Linked DNA regions of Tribolium castaneum. The protein of the gene in region 1 interacts with the protein of each later gene in a biochemical or structural test. Links are inferred from orthologs where the notes say so. Each region holds a gene or a part of one and is shown on either strand. Other genes may lie near its edges. The genes, in order: Acf and Iswi.

Evidence for each region.
Region 2: the proteins of Acf (region 1) and Iswi form a complex in vitro, tested with the Drosophila melanogaster proteins (3 studies listed by BioGRID). The link is inferred for Tribolium castaneum from reciprocal best matches to the Drosophila melanogaster genes Acf and Iswi.

Annotation. Positions count from the first base shown.
Region 1 is NC_087396.1:20,813,737-20,820,810, forward strand, and holds the end of Acf (bromodomain adjacent to zinc finger domain protein 1A), read right to left. Parts: coding exon 6,552-7,074; intron 6,505-6,551; coding exon 6,334-6,504; intron 5,397-6,333; coding exon 3,474-5,396; intron 3,085-3,473; coding exon 2,876-3,084; intron 2,826-2,875; coding exon 2,650-2,825; intron 2,597-2,649; coding exon 2,465-2,596; intron 2,249-2,464; coding exon 1,927-2,248; intron 1,880-1,926; coding exon 1,756-1,879; 3' UTR 1,629-1,755; downstream 1-1,628. Other genes in the region: CDAN1-interacting nuclease 1, read right to left, coding at 445-811, 863-912, 1,040-1,349, 1,400-1,497.
Region 2 is NC_087402.1:7,784,682-7,791,912, reverse strand, and holds the start of Iswi (chromatin-remodeling complex ATPase chain Iswi), read left to right. Parts: upstream 1-3,962; 5' UTR 3,963-4,126; coding exon 4,127-4,177; intron 4,178-4,258; coding exon 4,259-4,840; intron 4,841-5,194; coding exon 5,195-6,445; intron 6,446-6,678; coding exon 6,679-7,231. Other genes in the region: Rpi (ribose-5-phosphate isomerase), read left to right, coding at 1,710-2,411; uncharacterized protein LOC660873, read right to left, coding at 3,116-3,637, 3,686-3,688.

The DNA.
Region 1 (7,074 bases):
GTATTCGAGTTGGAGGGCTGTCGTTATGCAACGAGCGTAAGCGAGTGCACACCTACACACCCAAGAACTTTAAGCGTCTTAGTATGAGTGTTATTAAATTTTTTTGTCAGAAAATTTTAATTTAAAACACGTTGTATGGGAAGCGTGTTTTAAAATAGTGTTTATAATATAGGATTCAGGTATTAAAAAGGCTTGAAATGTTACCAACAAAAAAAAACAAATTTTCAAAAGTTTTAGGAAATTTATTAAAAAAAAAAAACGTGATAGGCAAATGTGACATATATTTTAGTTATCAGTAACCAAAATCGGTATAAACACATAAAGGACAATGAACTATATCTCAACTTGGGAGATTTTTTAAGGCCAGTTCACACCGTCATAGCCTTCTCTGTTAACTCCAAACAAATGCAAATAAAAGCCAAACTTTTTCAATAAAATTTTTATTTAACGAAGGTAATTAATGTGGACAATGTTCGTGGGCATGTGGTCTCTAATGATGAACCTTTTGTCGTCCGCTTGGACTATGCTTTTGACGAAACCGAACCAGTAAATCACTAGTCCGGGCCCAAACCGATTCCAATAGCTTAGGTATTGGTTTTTCGTGTACTCTATGTGGACGTCGTCATCGCCGAATAGGGCTTTGCTCTCGATCCAGTTGATGACAAAGCCATCAACTGCGACCGGAACGTCCAATTTAACATCGGGAGTTTTATCGTAGCCGAATTTCCTTAAATGTTCCTCGTCTCTGAACGCTAGATTCAGTTTCAGGACTTCGTTGTGTAATTTAATTTCGTATTCCTGGCCGAGAGAACTAGAATGTTTTTTACACTACTTTGTGTTAATTGAATGAACGAATTCTTACTGTTTCATGGTTTCTGATAGTGGACTGTACAAATTGTCATAGATTGTGCACTGGAAAACACTATTGTTTGTATCATATGAGCATGTAAATGAGTCATCCAAGTCGCCTCTGACCCGAATTTTGTTTCTAAGGTGACTTGGATGACGCATTTACTTGGTCATACGTTAGATTTCTTACCAGAAAGACTTCGTAGGCTAAATGTGGGTCTGGAATTAGAGAAGTATCTCTTAAATGAGCGTTAATTTGTGTCAATTCCATATCGCACTCTTTGAAATACTTGTGTAGGATTAGTTTGGCGATGAGACAAGGGCATATGTCGAATCGTTCGGCCATTCGGAGGATTATTCCAGGGCCGGCCCCCGTTTTAACGGCGTCTTGATACACATCCCAGTATTTGTTAATAACTGACTGGTTTTTAACGTGATTCATTCTCATACGTTTCTGGTATTCCAGCGATAAAATGCTGTAAAGTGTATCATGGTTTATGCTGGAAAACAAAATTTTTATAACTGATTTTAACACAAAACTGGGCCATACTGGGGGAAATTGTTAACTAGAATGGAGAGGCAGTTTTTAGAGAGCCCTTTGTAGTTCCGAATTACCGTCACAATGTTTCTGTACGCGCTCACATCCATGTTTCAGCTGAATTGTTTTTTGAGGTTATGTCACAACTGAAGATGGATGGCGCTTAAGCACGAAACGTGACGTAACTTTTTTTTCAATTTCATTATGATTAGGATGTTTGGGGTGATTAAAACAACATTAATTAATATAAAAACTTTAATAATCATAAATAGTACCTACAAAAACAGCTAAAAGGGTTACACAGTACAAATCAAAGGTAGATTTAAAGAAAAAATGTACAATGATAGAAATAAGAATACTATATAATACTATTTCGTGCGTATTTTCTTTTTCGGACGTGCATTCGGGTCATTATAATCCATCTCCTCGGGAAGTTTCAACCCCAACTCGCGACACTTTTTCTGAAAAAGCCTAAGCAACTGTACGCCACATCTGCAAAAAAATCATCAAACCATACACAATCACAAAAAATAAATTACTTGTAGACATCGTCCTCGGTGTGATTATACGTGTTACAATTTTGAAACACCAACAGTGCATCTGCCATAAACTGAGCATCTTCTTTATACTCCCCCATGTTTAATTTATACTTAATTGTGCCAAAATCCATCGGTTTCGTAATAACGTCGTAATAATCAGGTACCTCAATTTTTTGAACCGGCCGTAAAAACGGCCACGCGTTTGCATCTTTCATCACCTCGGACAGAACCGCATGCAGTGCCGAATTGTGCAACGGCAGATCCGTTCTGCCCTCATCTCGACGCGTCGCCCTTCTACTAATCACCTCCTCCTCGCTTGAGTCTAAACAAAAACGTTCAGAGTTTAAGTTAATGCGCGATTATTACATGATTGGACCAATTAAGTCACGTGAACCAGTTGCTAAGCAACTAAGTAAGCTACCAAGTTACTAGATTTAAATAACTGTTCCTTAGCAGCTGGTATAGCAACTGTCAATATGGGTTAAAACGATGGAAATGGTGAAATGTTAGCACGTGTGAAAGCTTTATAAGAACCCACCGTCAGAATCTGAGTGTTCTCGAAGACTCTTTGCAAAATCGTGGATCTTATACAAGGCTTTTGCAGCACAGCGACGCTGGCCATTGATTTTTCCAGTGCGCTGTACCACTGTACCATTACAGTAGCTCGTGTCTGTACAATAGTACTGATTTATAGCAGTTCATTAACGAATTACTTGTACTTACCGTAATTTCTTTTTCTATCGTTATTTTTCTTACATTTCGTACAGAACCAGGGGCCTCTGGGGGCCCTTCGCAAGGGCGGTTCCACACATTCGATGTGATAACTGTCCGTGCATTTATCACATTGGACCATTTCGCCCCCTGAACCACAAGTTTTACACAGATCGGGTTTAGGTGACCTGGAAATTTATTTATTGGTAAACAAAATAAAAAAAATGTCAATAGAGACGTTTCTTCATTTTCGTCCTGTTCTTCCTCTTCTTCGCCATCTTCAGTATCTTCCTCTTCATTATTACTTTCCAATTGTTCTATTTCCGATTCTTCCTCGTCGATTTCTTCGTCGCGGAAAATCGGACGTTTCTTCGGCGGTGATTCCACCACTTCAGGTTTCTTCTCTTGTTCGCATTTATCACAAAACCAATCGCCCGGCGGAATGCTCTACAAAAATCGTGCAAATGCAAATTTTGATCAACAACAGAACTCTTAAATGCTAACTACGGATATTGAAAGGTTAGGATAGGAAACGACCTAAAAATAAAACGTTCCCGCCTTCGATAGTTCCGTTAATGTCGCCAGAGAGCGCATTTGTTCCACTACCATCGAAGTTTTCAGAGCAATGAATTTGAAAAAAATGGTTATTTGTAAACCATTTGCAATCAAAAAAACTCTAAAAAAATTAGTTGGCAGTTTTTCTTAGTCTGTTAAGAATGCAAATATTTCTGCATTTTTTCCCAAGTAGTTCGTAAATTGGTTGTATTTAAATTAATTTTTACTCTGCCGTACATTTTTTTCTCCTAAGTTATAGTCCTTCGTAGTCGTGCCCTTACCTTCAGTTTCGGTTTAAGACAGTACAAGTGAACCCCTAGATTACAACCATCACACAGCAGCATATTCTCCGAGTCGTTCTTCCTCCGACAGATCCTACACTTGGCCAGAAGCACAGACTTGGCCCACAAAATGCACGAATCCAGCGTGCTATAATGTAGAAAAATCTGACTGAAACTGGTCGACGCCAACAACGACTGTTCCCACTTAACTATGGTGTTTTCGTCCATTTTACTATTATTACGACCTGTTGCCACACATCCTAGTGGTTTTTTGAGGAATTTCGGTTCAACGGCTTGCGCTACTTGCGCCAAAACCACTGCCAAACTCGGAATTGCTCCCTTAATGTCCTCGTTTTGCGTTAGCGGAATTTCATTATTGTCAATATCTGGTATTAAATAATGACTAGGATCAGTTTCCAGTTCTTTCAAATCGTTCTCATCCCGTTTTGCTAAATTCTTGTCCAGTTCTTTGTAATTCTTATTCTGGAGATCGCTCCTCCACTTTTCGCGGTCTTTGATATTTAGGGCCCCCAGACTCCCGGCGAAGATTTTCTCCTCCATTTCGAGAATGTTCTCGATGAGGGCGCTATGTAAGACGTCGGTGGGCGTCATATCTGGGGGGTACCCCAAGTTGGCGTCTTCATACTTAGGTTTAACTTTCCTCCGCTTGGGTTCTTCCCGACTTTCCATCTCGAAATTTAAGCTATTGACGGGCGTTTCGCGGATTAATTTCTCGATATCGTCCCGGTTATACGTCAAGTTTTGTTGCAACTCACTCTCGCGCACTCCTCGCTTGTTCAAACCGTCGATCAATTGATCGATTTGTTCGTTTTCGTGGTAGAAACCCCACAAATTTTTCCGACGCTCGTTCGAATGGACGACACAAGTGTCGGGGTTGGCGGAACACATCATTAAATCATCGCAGAGTTCGATTTTCTGGTCTAAAACACCGTTGCATTGTCCGTTTTTGCGATTTTTCGCCGGACTGTTCTCCTTATCGCTGGAATTTGATTCTTTGAGTGTTTTCTTCAAGTGGTCCAAAACCTCGTCACGTGTCGCATTGACCAAATGCGGCATTTGTTCGATAATATTGCTCAAACAGGTGCCTGGATTTTCCTCTTCCGAGTTGAGGAAAAATCCAGGGATGGACTCGAGGCGATAAAAGCGGCGAAACGCCCGGTCTTGTCCCAACAAGACTTGTTTCTCGTACACCGCCTTTTGTAACACCACCATTTTCCGCTGGTTTTCCATGCGTCTATGCTCGGCTTCCGCCTCCAACTTGCGTAATTCAGTTGCCGCTTTCTCGTCCGTTTTCGCCGATTTTTTCAGCTTGAACCTCGCAGTCAGAAACTCCTGTTCTCGCTTTTTCTCCGCGCTTAAAATAGTTTTATATTCGTGCTTCGCTTGTCGAATATTCTCCATGCGTTCCTCGACAACGTCCCTAACATCGGCATACGTCAACAGTTGATTCATCAAACACGACAAAATTTGCAACTTATCGACGATCGGTAACTCAACCACGTTGTGGGTCTTCAAAGCTTTGAGAATATGGGGGCTGTGGAGACGTAAATACAATCCGGGATCGTCTTCGCTTAAGTAACCCCCTCGTTGTTGGTAGCGCCATCTCGCGCCGCTCATTTTTATTATAGCACCGGATGATAACAGGTGTAATCTTAACACTTCCGATGTCGTAACCGAATAGAGGGGTAATTGGGCCAACGGAAGCCCTTGGTATTTTTTGCTCCAACCGGCGGCAATGGTCGCTAATCGAGTGGCCTCTTGCAGGTTCATATTATCGGAAATTTCCTCCTGTTTCAGGTTCAAAGTCTCGGTTTCGGTGCGATACTGAGAAGCCTCTTCCTCTTGCACGTGGAAAAGGGCGAGCAACAGCATTTGGAACAGGTCGATGAGGGGGCCAGCCACCTATAACAACGTTCCAAATAATGCAAAAAAAAAAACTGAAGTGGCACACTGGACGTCAAACCGAGATTCATTAATAACTTTTTATTTTTTTAATAAACAGTCATTCCATGATTACGGACGGGACATAATTGTGTCAAATTTTATTTTCAAACTGACTTATCAAGTTAAATATTTATGCCGCCAACTTTTCCAAAATCGTTATAGATCATTGATTACGGACGGGACAGTAAAAATTGTGTCAAAAATAAGTAAAAAACTGTAAATACTTTCAAAAGAACACAAATATGTTAGAGGGGCTAGATATATTTAAATGATTTTTTCATGAAAACAGATAATACAGCGAAAGTGTATGATAAAAAAAGAAAATAGTGAGATTACGGACGGGACACAAAAAATTATGTTGCAATTTTATTATAACAAAAATAATAATCGACTAACAATTATCAAAAAGAAAAAGTACGTTAACAATTAATGTTTTGGTAGTTTTGGAAAAATTATTTCAGTTACATAAAAGTTGTCTTTTATATTGTCAAAACATTCCGAAAGTTTTGGTGCATAAAAGTAACAGTTAATAATCTCAGAAATTAAAGATTTTAGGGTGTTATAATTTGGTCTTTGAGGGAATTTTTTTTATTGTTTTAAAAATAAATAGAAATTACGTATGTATGCAAAATTCCACCTTATTCGGTTAACAGCAACCCTCTCGAATTTGACTCGGAAAATATGAAACCAGAGAAATAGACAACAAGGCAAGAAATTAAATAAAAACTTAAAAAAACATTTAATAATAATTGATAACAAAAGGAATCCATTTTTAGCTTCAAAGTGCAAGTTTTTTAAAATTGTACGGGAGAAAATCGTCTTGCATAAACATTATTAATGATTCTTTTTCCCATTCATTCAGCCATTTGAAATGACAATTGTTTAAAAAAAATACCTCATTTTCTGTCAATGCCCTCTCCATAATCTCGAGCGAGAGCCCCCCTGGGAAAAAATCCTTGGTGTGCAAAAGTTTGGAAAACGTGTTTGCAAACTCTAGCACCATTAAAACGTCCCCCACGTATTCATCGGCAATTTTCAGTTTTACTGGACTAGCTTTTGGCAATTTCTACAAAAAAATTAATAATTCCAATTCGTTTGCAACCAAACACGGACTTTTTGATCGACAAGTTCCAGATCCTCTTTTGGCTTATTCCAGTTCTTCAACTGTTTGGCAAGTTGAAGATTCTCTTCCTTTTTCTTCTGCTTCATTTCGATTTTTTTCTCCTTCTTTTGCTGCCTGGCCTGCTTGAATTCCTCCTCCTTCTTCCTCATTCTCTCAAGTAAATCATTGTTACCGTTCTTCGCAAAGTTGGTACTCTTCGTGAGGTATTTATCGAGCGATTCTTGTCGCGTTTTCTTGACGAATTTCTTCGACGGACTGAATTCGGGCGGTTGGCCGCCGAAAATTTTATCGAAAGTGATTTTATCCAAATTAAAGGCTTTCAAAGCTGAGGGTTTTATGACGAAAACGCCTCTACTGTCCTGCTCGGCGTATTGTTTAAGGAACAGCTTGCACTTTTCGCGCGAGTAAGTGCCCTTTTTGCGGCGCATTTGACTGCAGTCAACGATCATAAATTCGCTTATGTCGTGATCGTTGGCGTCCAAGTGCTCGATCTCGTACTTGTAGAGGTTCGCC
Region 2 (7,231 bases), on another chromosome or scaffold:
TTTTAAAGCTGAAGTCTAATTGCTTGCTCCCAATAATCAGCTAGAGAAATAACTGTTCACCAGTTTGCATCCAAATATAGAGCTTTGCTGATACGGTGTTCATGTTAATATCCCCATCCAATTAGAAGAGCTGGAGATAAAAGGCGGAATTGCAGAAAAGCGTCTCAGATTTTCAGATTGGTAAATAGTTATTTGAACCAATGTTTGTTAAAAAGTTTCAAATATTAAAAAACGCCAGGTTTACACGCTTGAAATCATATTTAACCGATATATTTATTAAAGACATGCACAATCAAATAAAAAAGTAAAAAAAATGTGAAGTAATATAATAAATAATGAACTATTAGATTTTTCAATTTATGTTGTTAATTCATCTCACTACTTCCGTTTTTTTCAGGAAATAAGAGTTGTTAGAATACTTTCAACTACTTTAATAAAATACTTTTGTATTTATTTACTGATTTGGTTCGACTACAAGTAGGTATATTATCAATAAAAAAATCAGTAAGTGAGCCAACTGTAAGTGCAACTATCAAGTTTTAATTAAAATACCTGTAATCATCAAAAAGAGCGTGATATCCATACTAGTATCATTGTGATAAGTGGTGTTATTTAAACCAGTTAAGGTGCACCTTTATGGCACGTTCGAAAATTTTCCGGACACGTGAAAAAACATTAGCAAACAATAGTTTTTTGACGATGATGCATTTGAAATTAAATTAAATACCAGGTCAAGTATTATCCGCATCTCACCTCACAGTAAAAATTATGAAACCAATATTTTTTGCCGAGTTACAATATTTCATAATATTAGAGCACTGTTTACATTTTTAATTTAATTTAAACACGTTTTTAAGATGAAAAGGCAGTTCGTTCTTCTCGAAATTTGGCTAAACTAAGCTGAAAAACTAGTAAATTGAATCCAAAATGAAATTACTTTGCCGCTTATGCGTTTTTTTGGTCGGCACATTTTTTGTCTAGAAACACCAGTCTGCCAAAGAATAAACCGAAAAATCGCCGAAATGAATCGGAAAAATATGTAGTACGTAGTATTTTTTGCGTTTTTTAATATTATTTCAAATATTTTACAATTTTTTTTTAAATTACCAAAAAAAGCTGGCCTCAGAATACGTAAGTGTTATACTTACCTTTTTCAAATGCTTTAATCCCCTTCAAAAATTGATAACTCTATTGTACCCCCCATTTTTTTTTATTTGAAAACACCCCTAGGAAGACAACTCTAAAACTTAAGGTAGCAAGGTATTTAAAAGTGAAGAAGTTAAGGCTTTTTGAAAAAAAAATTATATATTTTATTTTCTTTTCATTTTGAAAATGATGCTATATTAATAACTCGTGTACTCCTACCTAACTAATGATACGAGTAGATTTAATGAAATTTAAATCATTCTCAATGAAATCAGAAATCACTAATCACTCTCATTCGTTAAAAAATGATGACCAACGGAGTAATAAATAATTACATGGGGAAAACGACACTGGTAATAGTTGTTTACGTTGAATAAGTAATTAAATTGTTACGTATTATTCCCACAAGCGTGCAATTTATCCGGTTTCCAGCTCGCAACTTTGAAAATAGAGCCACAAAAGGAAGCTGCAGAGGCGCATGAGCACGTTGCGAAACGTAAGTTGAATAATTTATCTTAAAATCCATGAATTTATTTCAACTTTTAAGGAGATCATTCGTCACGATGGCATCCCTCGAAAGTGCTAAAAAACTGGCGGCCTACAAAGCTGTGGACCTCCACGTGCAAAACAATTCCATTGTGGGTGTCGGCAGCGGCTCCACCGTTGTTTACGCCGTTGAGAGGTTAGCCGAACGTGTGAAAAACGAAAAATTAAATGTACAGTGTGTCCCAACGTCCTTTCAAGCCAGGCAATTGATCATCCAGCACAGGCTGCACCTAACCGACCTAGAGATACATCCAAGATTGGATGTTTGCATTGATGGTGCCGATGAAGTTGATTCCACCTTGACATTGATTAAAGGAGGTGGGGGATGCTTATTGCAGGAGAAGATTGTTGCTAGCTGCGCCAAGGAGTTAATTATTATAGCGGATTATACCAAAAATTCACAAAAGCTGGGGGAACAATACAAAAAGGGGATTCCGATTGAAGTTGTTCCGATGGCCTATCTCCCCATTAAAACGCAAATTGAAAACCAACTGGGAGGGACAGTTGAGCTCAGAATGGCTAAAGCCAAAGCTGGACCTGTGGTCACCGATAATGGGAATTTTATCCTGGATTGGAAAAACTTCCAGGATTATAAATGGGACACAATCAACACCAAATTGAATCTCATTCCGGGAGTTGTGGAGACGGGACTATTTGTTAACATGGCCAAGAAGGCCTATTTTGGGTTGGCCGATGGGTCAGTCAAAGAACAAATTTAATTCATCCATTGATTTATTTGAAGGAATGTTATTTAAAAATATATATTTTATATTTTTATATGTTGTATTTTCAAAATTAAATAAAGCATCTCGTGCAACACACATTTTACAATGGTGGTCTAACATGTGTAACCTTTTAACTCAGATTATTTGCCCACTCATCTTTGTCATGTTTCTACGCTTTATTTTTAACAAAAACCCGTATTTCTACTAAAACATCAAAAACAACTTGAATTTTATTTTTAACCCTTTTTTTCTCAGACAGGTTTTTCTAAAAACAATTTATTTTAGAAAAATGAGTCGATTTTAAAATTGATGTTTTTAGGAAAATCTGAGTTAGAAAAAAAGGGTTAAAAATCACAGTCAAATTCAACGTTGTTTTTGATGGTTTAGTAGAAATATATACGAGTTTTTCTTAAAAATAATGCATGAAAATTTGGAAAATGATTAAGACTGAGTTAAGAAGTTACAAATATTAGACTACTTACAATACTGACAATTTGTGCAACGGTGACTAGACGTTTCCAAACAATTAATTGGTACAGGGTGATTCACGCAAGACGACTAGACTAGCCTTACAATTTAATGCAAAACCAAATACATTTTAAACAAATTAAATTGCGAATAGGACAGGAAACTGTGCATTTAATTCTTGTAAGGCTGTCATTTTAGCATTTTACGAAATCACCTGGTATGTTTCCAACTTAGTACAAACTGGTTTTCTTCATAATTCGCAAGAATTCTTCCTGATTGATTTCACCATCTCCATCCCTGTCTGCTTCATCAATCATTTCTTGCAATTCTTCATCTGTGAGATTCTCTCCTAGTTCTTTAGCCACTCTTTTCAGGTTCTTAAAACTGATTTTTCCGGTCTCGTCATCGTCAAACAAGCGAAACGCCTTCATGATCTCCTCTTTCGAATCCTTTTCGGCCATTTTCATGGTCATCAATTGCAAGAAATCATCAAAAGACAGTTTTCCAGTTCCCTGTGTATCAATATCAGCAATCATTTTCTTGATTTCTTCCTTCTTTGGCTCAAATCCCAACGCTCTAATTGCCACCTTCAGGTCTTTGGCGTCGATCTTCCCAGAGCCTTCATTATCAAACAAATCGAACGCCTCTTTAATATCGTTCTTCTGCTCTTCAGTCAACTCAAATTTGGAGCCTGCCATCTTCTTACGAACTGAGGAGAGATTCTTTTTTAAAACAAAGGAAGGGGACGTCGTCTAAAATCAATACTAACGCCTAAGTACTTATTGAAAATAGTCAATTACCATTATCAGGAACGGTTTTATGTTTTTATTCCAAAACTGTTGATGTTGAGATAACACAACCAAACATCCGGCGTTTTAAACAATCTGACAGTCGGGACTACCAACATTTACAAGGCCACCGTCTAAAACGCTTTCACCGCCTTATGAAAAATTGTCTTTTAAAAATTTGTCCACATCATAAAATTCTCTCGTTGTTGTGGGGTGCAGCATGCAATTATTGTTGTATTTTCGCCCGAAAATGGGCTCAAAGTGTGTAGGGATTGTTGGTGTTTCACCAGTTTGACGCATTTGCCCCCAGATGCGGCCGTCCTGCGACTAGTTCGTAGTGTTTCCCGCTACGTATCGCTTCCGAATCATTAAATGAACGGCATTTTTCCAAATTATCGTCGTTAAAAACCAACATTCCGTAGTTTTAGCTAAGAATTTCGCGCACCCAGCACCATGTCCAAAGTGGAAGAAGGCGGTGAAACCGCTGACACTGGTGAGAATTCGGTAAGAGCCTTGTTGTTAAAACAACCACAATAGTAAAAGTAAAAACGGGTCATTGACTCTGCTTTATTTATGAAATTGAAGAATGCCTCGTCTTCGGACACCCTCTCGTCGCGTGGGAAGGGCGAAGACTTCGAGACCAAACTCGAAACGGACCGCAGCCGCCGTTTCGATTACCTGCTCAAACAAACCGAGATTTTCTCCCACTTTATGAACCAAAACAAAACGCCTTCGAAACCGAAATCGGGCCGTCCCAAGAAAATCAAGGAAGACCCAGTGGCGGACCACCGCCACCGCAAGACCGAGCAGGAAGAAGATGAAGAACTGCTGGCCGAAAGCAATGCCAAGGCCAAACCGACGATTCGGTTCGAAGCCTCGCCGCCTTTCATCAAGAACGGGGAAATGAGGGACTACCAAATCCGGGGGCTGAACTGGATGGTGTCTTTGTACGAAAACGGGATCAATGGGATCTTGGCCGACGAAATGGGGCTCGGGAAGACGCTCCAGACCATTTCCTTGCTAGGTTTCATGAAACATTATAAAAACACGCCGTCTCCTCACATTGTGATTGTCCCCAAGTCGACTCTAGCCAATTGGATGAACGAATTCAAGAAGTGGTGTCCCAGCATCCGCGCTGTGTGTCTCATTGGGGACCAAGAGGCCAGGGTAAGACCTGGTTTAGTTTAATTGTGTTTTGACTAAGGTTGGAAAACACAAAGTCCAACCTACGTAAAAATTTATAATATCCAAAAAGAGTGATAGGACAGAGCGCTTTCGCGATTACATTCTTCATCAGTGGCGTAAAAGGGGGCTGGTAACAGGGGGTTAAGGTTAAGGCCTCTTCCTTATCACTGTCAGTACAAAAATGATTAGAAGAGAGAATATGGTTGGAAAAAGTTGAAGCATCTTTATATTTTTCTATGAATTTAAGATGTTTTTCAACCTTAGTCATCATAACAACCCCGCTTTGATAGAATGGATCCTTTAATTCTAATTGTGTTTCGTTAATTATTTTTTTAGAATGCTTTCATTCGGGACGTGATGATGCCAGGCGATTGGGACGTCTGTGTGACTTCGTACGAAATGGTTATCAAAGAAAAATCAGTTTTTAAGAAATTCAACTGGCGCTACATGGTAATAGACGAAGCTCATCGTATTAAAAACGAGAAATCGAAATTATCGGAGATTCTCCGTGAGTTTAAAACAACAAATCGTCTCTTACTCACCGGTACCCCCTTACAAAATAATTTACACGAACTTTGGGCCCTCCTTAACTTTTTACTCCCTGATGTTTTTAACTCTGCTGATGATTTCGACGCTTGGTTTAACACAAACCAGTGTTTGGGTGATAACCAGTTAGTCGAACGCTTGCACGCTGTCTTGAAGCCGTTTCTATTGAGACGTCTCAAATCCGAGGTCGAGAAAAAATTAAAACCGAAAAAAGAACTCAAAGTTTACGTCGGTTTGAGCAAAATGCAGCGCGAGTGGTATACTAAAGTCCTGATGAAGGATATTGATGTGGTAAACGGGGCCGGTAAAGTAGAAAAAATGAGACTACAGAACATTCTCATGCAATTGCGTAAGTGTTCAAACCACCCTTATTTGTTCGATGGGGCTGAGCCTGGGCCCCCGTACACCACCGACGAACATTTAGTCTACAATTGCGGGAAAATGGTGCTTTTGGACAAGCTTCTGCCCAAATTAAAAGAGCAGGACTCGAGGGTTTTGATTTTTTCACAAATGACACGAATGTTGGACATTTTGGAGGATTACTGCCACTGGAGACAGTACAATTATTGTAGATTGGACGGACAGACGCCGCACGAGGACCGGCAACGCCAAATCAACGAATATAATGAGCCAAATAGCTCAAAATTTATTTTTATGTTGTCGACGAGAGCCGGAGGTTTGGGTATTAATTTAGCAACAGCAGACGTTGTCATCATCTACGATTCGGATTGGAACCCGCAAATGGACCTCCAAGCCATGGACAGAGCGCACAGGATCGGCCAAAAGAAACAAGTTCGTGTGTTCAGACTTATCACCGAAAATACAGTCGAGGAAAAAATCGTAGAACGGGCCGAAGTCAAGCTGAGGCTAGACAAGTTAGTGATACAACAAGGGCGTCTAATCGACAACAAATCGCAGTCTTTGAACAAAGACGAGATGTTGAACATGATCCGGCACGGGGCCAATCATGTCTTCGCATCGAAAGACTCGGAAATCACCGATGAAGACATCGACACTATCTTACAAAAAGGCGAAGCAAAGGTAAAATACTTAATTTCCCAGTACTAACAAAGTTCACCTCCTAACTACGTAGGAGACGAAACGAGATCTAATCTACTTTTTTTTATTTGCGTTGTATTCACAGTTATTTAAATACAACCATTTTTTTAATTTATTGAACTATCGAGGAGGTTTAAATTAGTATATCGTTTCGAATCCTCTAGTTATTTGTGCTCCTCCCTGACTATAACATTAATCTAATAAAAAAAAATTAGACAGCGGAACTGGCCCAAAAACTCGAAGCTCTCGGCGAGTCATCCTTGCGCAACTTCACTGTGGACACGCCAACAGAGTCCGTTTACAAGTTCGAAGGCGAGGATTATCGCGAAAAGCAGAAAAACATCGGTTTGAACACCTGGATCGAGCCTCCGAAGCGTGAAAGAAAGGCCAATTATGCCGTCGATGCCTACTTCAGGGAAGCTTTACGTGTTTCTGAGCCCAAAGCGCCGAAAGCACCACGTCCTCCTAAACAACCTATCGTACAAGATTTCCAGTTTTTCCCTCCCAGACTTTTCGAGCTTCTTGACCAAGAAATTTACTACTATCGCAAAACTTTGGGTTACAAAGTCCCCAAAAATTTGGAGTTGGGGCCGGAGGCCGCCAAGCAACAGCGAGAGGAACAGCGGAAGATTGACGAGTCTGAGATGTTGACTGAGGAGGAACAGCAGGAGAAAGAAGCCTTGCTCACCCAAGGTTTCACCAATTGGAGCAAGCGTGACTTTAACCAGTTTATCAAAGCGAACGAGAAATATGGAAGGGATGATATTG